Coturnix japonica: one gene and its partner. The protein of the gene in region 1 binds, or shares a complex with, the protein of each later gene. Links are inferred from orthologs where the notes say so. Each region holds a gene or a part of one and is shown on either strand. Other genes may lie near its edges.

Region 1 (4,022 bases):
AGAAATGTTTGCATGCAAGCCTGATCAGAAAAAAGTCTTTCTGAAACATGTTTTCATACTTCAACATTCTTTCTTCTTCATTGCATTAGCTACACCCTATGTTATTCCTTTCAACCATGACATTATTTAGCAAATTAATTTAGGTTATAAGCCAGCTCCTTATCACCAAAAGGGCATTTTACCTGATAGTAATCATTCAGTCCCTAAATCACATCTTGCCATCATAAAGTGGCAAAGGTCTCTTCTTCCCTTTTCCAGCTCTCACAGTGCACCAAAGATAGCTGCATTTGAGTAACTTTCCAGCCTCCAACAACTCTCATCATTTCAGCATCCTAGCCTTTGTGAACATTTTTTCTGGAGTACAAAATACCTGCAGTGGCAGAGTGAAAAATCTTTACCTGTGGGCCACTCTGAAGTGCTAGATTTTCTGGTACCCTTTTTCCTTATCCTATACTGCTGAGAATAGTCTACCACTTCCCCTCGAGCTTTTCGTCCGTCAGGGGAGGGAGTGAAGAATTTAGTAAGGCCATCTATAAGCCCTTTGGTTTTCTTGTTAAACTTCAAGGTAGCACTGCCATCTCTGCAGTAGTCCAACACTTCTGTCTGCTCCAGGTATCCTCCTTCTGATGATGCTGACTGGCTGGACAGAGTTATCTTACGCTTCCTACCCCGACCAGGGCCAGTTCGAACTTTGCTGAAGGGTGCTTTTGATCTAAAGAAACAGAAAGGGAAACATATGGTAAGAGCTGGTAAAGTGGTTTGGTGTGGCTTGCAGAGTGGATTAGTGTCTTCCCTACTTATTTATGTATCACACAGAAGTTAAACGTGAGCTAATTCTAAACACCTTGGTGCTGCACATTGAAAAGTTTGTCTAAGTATAAATAACAGATATTCACTGAATTTAATAAATGAGATTACAGGAGATGGTAGACAGAATGAATACACAAAGTTTCAATTAACATTTTTCAATTTATGTCTCTCTAAGCATCAGAAACAATGCAAAGCAAAGCGATTCTATCAGAAGAAGCAGACATTCAGAATAACAGATCTGACAAAAACAGCAAAATAAATGAATGACTAGAAGGAACAGTTTGTAACATAATGTAGAGCTATTACAAAGAATAATAATGAAAAAAATCAGGGCACAAATAAACTGTGAGATTACTTCATTCTTTCACAGAACCCTTCAGAAATTTTGTATTAAAGAAAAATGAAAAACTTTTCATTGTAAAAAAAAAAAAATCTCACAGAAAGCAGACTTGACACTTCAGAAATGCTCATTGTCCTACAGAATCACACACCTCATTCCTCTTTATAGAGAAACTTACGTTGCATTTTGATTCTTTAACCTGTTTTTGGGACGTCCTATTGGATTAGCATAGCGTCGTTTTATCTGTGCTGCCTTCTTGTGTAAAAGTTTTCTTCCTTTCTTACGTGGCCGACATATTTGACATATCCACATACCTATAAAACACACAGTCACCACTACTGAATGCAAGGAACATCAACATTGAATAAAGATACAACTAAAGGCCCCAGGCTTTCCAAAAGAAAGGGTAAGAATAGGATCAAAGTCCTCTCCACAGATACACATGTACGAAAAGTTAAGCATAAACCAGCAATCTAAATTCATATTTGGTTAATTCCCACTCCCTCAAATACTGTTTCAAAAATGTACAAGCCAACCTCTTTCTGATGTACAAAGCTATTCATTCAAATCAAAGCTGACCACTTTAATCTGCATGGATCAATTTTATTCCCTCAGTTTTTGAAGTCTTTGTTTTTCAAAATTCTTCACAGAAAATAATTTATAGGAAGCAGAAACAGACAGAGGAAAATCTCTGACCCTTCCCAAAGAAAACTTTAGTTTTTAACACCTGAAAAGCAATAACGTAAAGAGCAAGTTAGAAGTAAATAAAAGAGAACAAAGCGTGTTGAAGCACTTTCTAGCCACTGATCTCTTCTTACACCACATTAAATTAAGCCTTTCATCACAAACTCCTCACCTTTTGGCATTCGGGAAAGTGGTGGATCACAGCACTCCATGTGGAACCCTCTATCACAGGAGTCGCAAAATAGCATGTTATCCTGTTGAAGACAGATAAACTTAATCTCTTTTTGATGTGCATCAATCCCTCCATTAATTTGTCACCATCTGGGAGAATACACATGTATTTCTCACACTACTGACACTGTATTTGACAGGTGTCAGAAAGCCTACAAAACAGAAGCTGCAAATACTTAACTCCAGAATTGTTTTATTTTATATTTTAACAGAACATTCGCAAGGCTGATGTCATACTAAATCAGACCATACTCTACTGTACTCACAGCATTTTTGCCCTGATCTCGACAGGAACTGCAGGTTTTGCACTCAATACATTGCCATCGCAAGGCTTTGACTCGAACTGTCAGCTCTGGTGAGAACTTCAAACAAGAAGGATGACCTGCAGGAAATAGAGAACATAACACCAGTAAAACCACTCTACTGCTTCTAATGATCACAGATAGCACACAGAGCATTCACTTTGTTAATCACATATTTCCATGAAGAAATATGATTATTCAGATGCTCCTGTTTATAGATGCACTGACTCTTATCCACTTATACATAGCACCTAGAAAGTAAATGGCAGGGCCATGTTCAAAAGCACACCAAGATATTTTTTCATAACTTAATTAAGTTATGCTAGTCATCACTACTAGATTTTTTCCAGAAACTTCCAGGGAGTAAAGTAACTGCTTGTTAGGTTAACTTAAGTGTCAGTTCAACTAACCATATCATGTCACAGATGCATACTCCCAGTACGCATGGATCAGTGTCAGTCACTACACTAAACTTTTCTACCACAGGTGACTGGGTTATTACCAGCAGCATTGTAAGTGGTCACCTACCGCTATTGCCACAGTCAGCGCAAGAGATAAGCTCTTCAGGTTTCTTCTCCCGATTTTGCTCTTTTGTACCAAGGCAGAAACTGCAGATTGGAATTGGTTCAGCAACCGGCTACACGAGAAAAACAAACAACAAAATAACTCAGTATATCAAAGCAGCAAACTTATATAATACACCAAATCATGTAGGCATTTACATCACATGTAAATATTATGTACTGCACACTGTGCTGGTTCTCACCACACAGTAAGTACTGCATCAACACTGTAACCCAAAGAAAAATTAGAATGCTAAAGAGAAATAATTCCAGCCTCAAAGGGAAAAGAGAACAGAATTCCAGGACTAGAGGAAACTTGGAAAGCAAGAGCAGCAAATTAATATGTAAGAGAAAGAAAATTACAGCATGTTGATGTCTCAATTTGTCACCAAATGAAGGAGCTATGAGACAACACACGTATGATCCCAGAACACAGCAATCTTAGAAATTCCCTTCATGTATCCACAGCCACTGTCTCAGAAGTGTTTGTGATATATTAACTAAAATAAAATGTAGCTCATGGAACAATAACTACTACAGTACCATTAACATGTGTATGAAAAGTGAAAATAAAAGGACATTTTTGCGCAGGAGATTACACAAGTGTCTTATTTAGCACTCAAAAGCAGCACATGAAAAGGTTTGACCCCTCTGGAAAAGTTCAGGTCATTTAAACACTCCCTAAGAGAAAAAGATATTTAAGATAAAGAACAACACTTGCAAAATCATAGCTCGATATTAACCAGTCAGCAATACTTGTAAAATTCTTGTGCCATAGGACTGGCATTCTGTAACAGCTTCCTCAAGGAAGTAACAAGCACAGTAAACTGATTGGTTTAAATTAAAAATACTTGATCAACTAATGAGAGGGAAAGTACAGCCTTGCCTACAGTAACATTAACTGCTGGATTAGGAATTTCTTTCTAATCCAATTCTGCATTTTCCAAGAAAAATCTGTGAGTTACAGTTTTAATAGCAAAGATACAAGTAGAAATTTAGACTTGTGTGCGCATACAAAATAAAAGCATTTGTTAGAATCGCATTTAAAACCACGGAACCATGAAAAACAGATTATGGCATGGTTCCAGGTAC
Region 2 (4,727 bases), on another chromosome or scaffold:
TGTGCTCTTTAGGAACCTGTCCCTCTGTTCCTGGCATAAAACCCAGTGAAACTGGATTATAGGGTGTTTCTGGAAAGCCTTGAGCGCATTGGTGACAGCAAGATGACAACTCTTTGAACTTTCTGCTTTTATATCAACAACATTTGTCCATGGTAGGACAAAAGCAGCATAGGCCGAAGGAATATTTAACCCTGCTGAAGTCAAGGCAGTTTAGCATTTCAGCATGCACAGATGCTGTTCACACAGGGATAATGTTTTATATGTGGCTGGTGAAGTGTTGTCAAGTGTACTGAGAAGATGGTAACATTCCTAGATTACTTAGAAGTTGCTGTGTTGCAGGCAAGGTCACAGTGTTCCATCTTGGCATGGCTGAGTTTGTTTCATTTCTGCTTTCAAAGCTTTTCGGAGGTGGGTGATTGTATCTCTCCTATTATCCAGATGCCTTTTAGAAATGAGCTGGAATTCTTATCCCAGGCGCTGAGTGTTGGCTGGCAGCAATTTCAGTGCCGTTTTAGATGCTTCTATGTAGTGTTAAGTAATTGTGTGTTTTACAAATGGGTTGGTTTATAGCAGCCAGTTGCTGTGGTAAAAAGCCCACTTGGGGTAATTTCTCCAGACAGTAAACCGACTGTTTCTCAAAAGCTACTACAATAACATCCTGTTCTTGTTTGTCATGTCAGCAGGTAAAATAACCCTTCCTTGGAGTGCTTGCTTGGCTGAAATTTTCTCATCATTCAGCACTGCCAGCCATCAGCTAAAGTCTTGTTTTTCTTGAACACAATATTAATAATGGCTGTGGTCAGGTCATTCTGATTGCTTTATCCTCCACAATAATTATGTTCATATAACGTCTTGCATCCAGTGTCTTCTTCAATTAAACCAGTCTGCCTTAGGTTGTACCTGAGCCATATGTCAGCAGGGTTTCCTTGGTTTTCCATTGGTTGACCAAGCTGATCAGGCAGACTCCTGGTTAACAGGGCAGTGCTTTCAGGAGAAGAGTGTTTTTCCAGAAATCCGTTACTCCGTTCTGGAATAACTTCATGAATTCTTGCAGGCACTGATCCACGAGGTGCTGCTTGCTTTGATTCACTTGAGGTTTTGTGAAGTTAAGTCCGTCATGGAGCAAAAAAATAACGTGACAGCTAAATTCAAATGCTTTGTTTGTCTGCAGGTCCTACAGAAAGGGGCTGAAAGTGCTGTACTCTAACTTAGGGTGAGTTGCTGGTTCAGGCCCCTGCATAGCAACAGATAAGCTCCAGGCTGACTTATCTTCTTGGGGAGATTTTACATTTGCTTTTCTTTTTCTCGTCTCCCTCTTTCTTTGGCCTGTTTTGTTCCTCTGCCTGGGCTCTGCACTCTTATCCCTGACTGCCCTTCTCCCTCGCATTACTCACTTGGCTTCCTCTCTACTTTCCCTCTTTTGCCCTCAGATCTTTGGGATCCTGCTGCTGCCTTTCCATTCTTCTCCAGCTCCTCTTGCCAGCTCATCTCCACCCCTCCTTGTTGGGCACCTCCTTAATGGCTGGAGCTGACTCTCAAATGATTATCTTTGTTGCTGATTAGCAGTTTGTGAGGGCAGAGCTGTCTTGGGCTTTTAGTTAAGGCTCTGTTTGAGCACCATTGCATAGTTCACAGTACAGCTTGGTCTAGACAGTGTCCTGCTGCTTTCCTACTTGTACCCCTGTGGATCTTGCAAGCGGAACCAGCTCAGGGGCCTGTACATGGATCGTGGCTTCAGAAGAGCTGATGCTGAGACAGAACTTGTAAGTCCTTCTGGATCCATATTGCTCGTTCCCATACTTGTTCCATTTTACTTCTTTGTAGATCCTACCCAAGAGAAGAAGGGTTGCGCAGCTAGCACCCATTGTTCAGTTCATCCTCTGGTTCTTCATAGACTTTTGTAATCCATTTTGCATGATGTGGAGGACATGGGTTAGCTCAGTGCATGTTCTGTCTGCAGGATGGTGTGAGAAACCAGCTTGCAGGAGAAAGGAAGGCAAAACTGGTAGATAGTTTTTCACCATGAAACTCTTTCACTATGTGGGTGAAGGAAGAAGTGTTGCAGTGGGATGGGAGATGTGGGTGAACTTCCTTCTGAACCTCAGAGCAGTGCTGGTATACATTCTCACATAGAGCTCAGCTAAAAAAAAAAAAACACACAAAATGGTGGGCAGGGGGAACTGCTTTTGTGGGGCAGGAAGAGTGCTTTCCTTTAGGCCTGGAAAACCAGACCTAATATTCAGCACATTATGTATACTGCTGGGAACTTGCAGGCAAAAGAACAGAGAGAACTCCTTGGCCTGTGTGAACTAAGTACTGAACGGTTCAAGCGGGTTTATTAGTAATGTCTGCGTTTCTGAGGATCTGGATGGTTTGTTGGTCTGAGTGCACAGCAGAGCATTTAGATGCCATTCTCTAAAACCCATTTCAACTCTTCTCATCTGTTGGTATGGGAAACATTTCCTGGTTTGCAAGCAGAGAGATTTGGAGCGTGCTGTGCCTTGCTCAGATATGTACTACAGAAATGATTGATACATCCAGTACTTGCTTGTATTTAAGGTGAAGTAACCTCTGAGCCTGAAATTGCTGAGGCCCTTAGTTGAAATGTTTTTCTATTGTGATGCTGTGTGGGTTTTTCAATCTGTGCTGCTCCTGTTAGCTTGTCTCCTTTGCTCATGCTGGTCCCGGTTTGTTGCAGCGTCTCTGGTGCACCACAGCGATGAGGAAGCCTCGGAGGAGGTCACGGCAGAATCTGGAGGGCCGGCATTCTCCATCACCCTACAGCCTGAAGTGCTCACCCACTCGGGACATGCTGACGTACGCTCAGGCCCAGCGCATTGTGGAAGTAGACATAGATGGGCGGCTTCACCGCATTGGCATCTACGATCCCTTAAAAATCATCACAGAGGATGAACTGACTGCCCAGGACATCACAGAATGCAACAGCAATAAGGAAAACAGCGAGCAGCCCCTTTTCCCTTCAAAATCCAAGAAAGCACCTTCCAAAGGCAAGAAGAAGGAATCCTGCTCCAAACACACATCAGGAACATCTTTACACTTACCCCAGCCGAAGTTCCGTGTGGTGGACTCCCTGAAACAGCCAGAGGCCCCCCCTCTCCCTGCTGCCTACTACCGGTACATTGAGAAGCCTCCCGAGGACCTTGATGCAGAGGTGGAGTATGACATGGATGAGGAGGATCTGGCATGGCTGGAAATGGTGAATGAGAAGAGAAGGGATGATGGTTATGGGATTATTTCTGCTGAGACTTTTGAGCTGCTGGTGGACCGCTTGGAAAAGGAGTCGTACCTTGAGAGCCGAAACAACGGGACTCAGCAGTCTGTCATTGATGAGGATGCATTCTGCTGTGTTTGCATGGATGATGAGTGTCACAACAGCAACGTCATCTTGTTCTGTGATATGTGCAACCTGGCTGTGCACCAGGAGTGTTACGGGGTGCCCTATATTCCTGAGGGGCAGTGGCTTTGCCGCTGCTGCTTACAGTCCCCTTCTCGCCCTGTTGATTGTGTACTCTGCCCAAACAAAGGTGGAGCCTTCAAGCAGACCAGTGATGGCCGCTGGGCTCATGTGGTTTGTGCCATTTGGATTCCAGAGGTCTGCTTTGCAAACACTGTGTTCCTGGAGCCCATTGAAGGGATAAATAACATTCCCCCAGCTCGGTGGAAGCTCACATGCTATATCTGCAAGCAGAAGGGCATGGGAGCTGCTATCCAATGCCACAAAGTGAACTGTTATACTGCCTTCCATGTCACCTGTGCCCAGCGGGCTGGTCTCTTCATGAAGATTGAACCCATGAGGGAGACCAGCATCAATGGCACAACATTCACTGTGCGCAAGACTGCCTATTGCGAGAGCCATTCCCCACCTGGAACAGTGAAAAAAGGGCATTCAGCTGCTACCAGTGAGAGGCAGGAGGGCATTGTGAAGGAGGAGAGGGAGGAAGAAGGCAATTCTGGTCCTCCCCAAGCATCCCTAAAGAAGAACAAAGTGAAATTGAAGCAGAAGATCAAAAAGGAACCTAGTGAGGGGACTGATGGGCGTTCATCTATGCCCATGGTGGCAGTTGCACAAATTCCATCTTACAGGTGAGTGTTGGAGCTGGACAGCAGAAGATGAACAGGGTCTGTTCTATGGACTCGATCCCTTTCGTTGTTGAACTTGGAAGCACCCTCTTTAGCCCAGACCTAGCAGTAACTGTGTTCAGATTGTGCTCTGCAGGAACATTCCTCACCAACATTCTTCCATGTGCATGCCAGTTGTGCACTGGTTTCCCTGCTTTGCCAAGCAACAACCCCAAAATGTTATGTAGTACAGATCTTTCGTGGTACCTAACAGGCAAACATGCAGCTAGCATCCAAATTTACATAGATGGCTGTGAAGGTGTTTTTAAAATACATCAGGCATTACAGGTTGGCAGGTGAATGGGAGTCATCCTCCTGTTGATATATTTTTTTCAATCCCCTCATTACATAGCATCTTTATTGTTCCTTTTACTGCAGAACATGTTAAACATGTAAATGTTTCAAGCAGCTTAGAATCTGGCTGTACATTTTTTTTCTCCAAGCTCTCCTTCAAACAGAATTAGGGAGTGCTGAGTTTCTATTTGGTGGCTGAGGAAGTGTGGTGATGTGTTGCCAGTATTTCAATAGGCAAACTTTGGAAAACTGCTGATAAGACCACATGTAATCTAATGAATGGTTTGAAAAGA

What was found. Proteins that work in one complex are often made in the same cells at the same time.
Region 2: KAT6A (region 1) and BRPF3 share a complex: the UniProt entries of both Homo sapiens proteins name them as parts of the MOZ/MORF complex. The link is inferred for Coturnix japonica from reciprocal best matches to the Homo sapiens genes KAT6A and BRPF3.

Annotation. Positions count from the first base shown.
Region 1 is NC_029537.1:4,049,615-4,053,636, forward strand, and holds part of KAT6A (histone acetyltransferase KAT6A), read right to left. Parts: intron 3,005-4,022; coding exon 2,896-3,004; intron 2,448-2,895; coding exon 2,332-2,447; intron 2,089-2,331; coding exon 2,007-2,088; intron 1,465-2,006; coding exon 1,329-1,464; intron 713-1,328; coding exon 399-712; intron 1-398. UniProt on the Homo sapiens protein: Histone acetyltransferase that acetylates lysine residues in histone H3 and histone H4 (in vitro). Component of the MOZ/MORF complex which has a histone H3 acetyltransferase activity. May act as a transcriptional coactivator for RUNX1 and RUNX2.
Region 2 is NC_029541.1:568,586-573,312, forward strand, and holds the start of BRPF3 (bromodomain and PHD finger-containing protein 3), read left to right. Parts: upstream 1-1,603; 5' UTR 1,604-1,721; coding exon 1,722-1,763; intron 1,764-2,698; coding exon 2,699-4,104; intron 4,105-4,727. UniProt on the Homo sapiens protein: Scaffold subunit of various histone acetyltransferase (HAT) complexes, such as the MOZ/MORF and HBO1 complexes, which have a histone H3 acetyltransferase activity.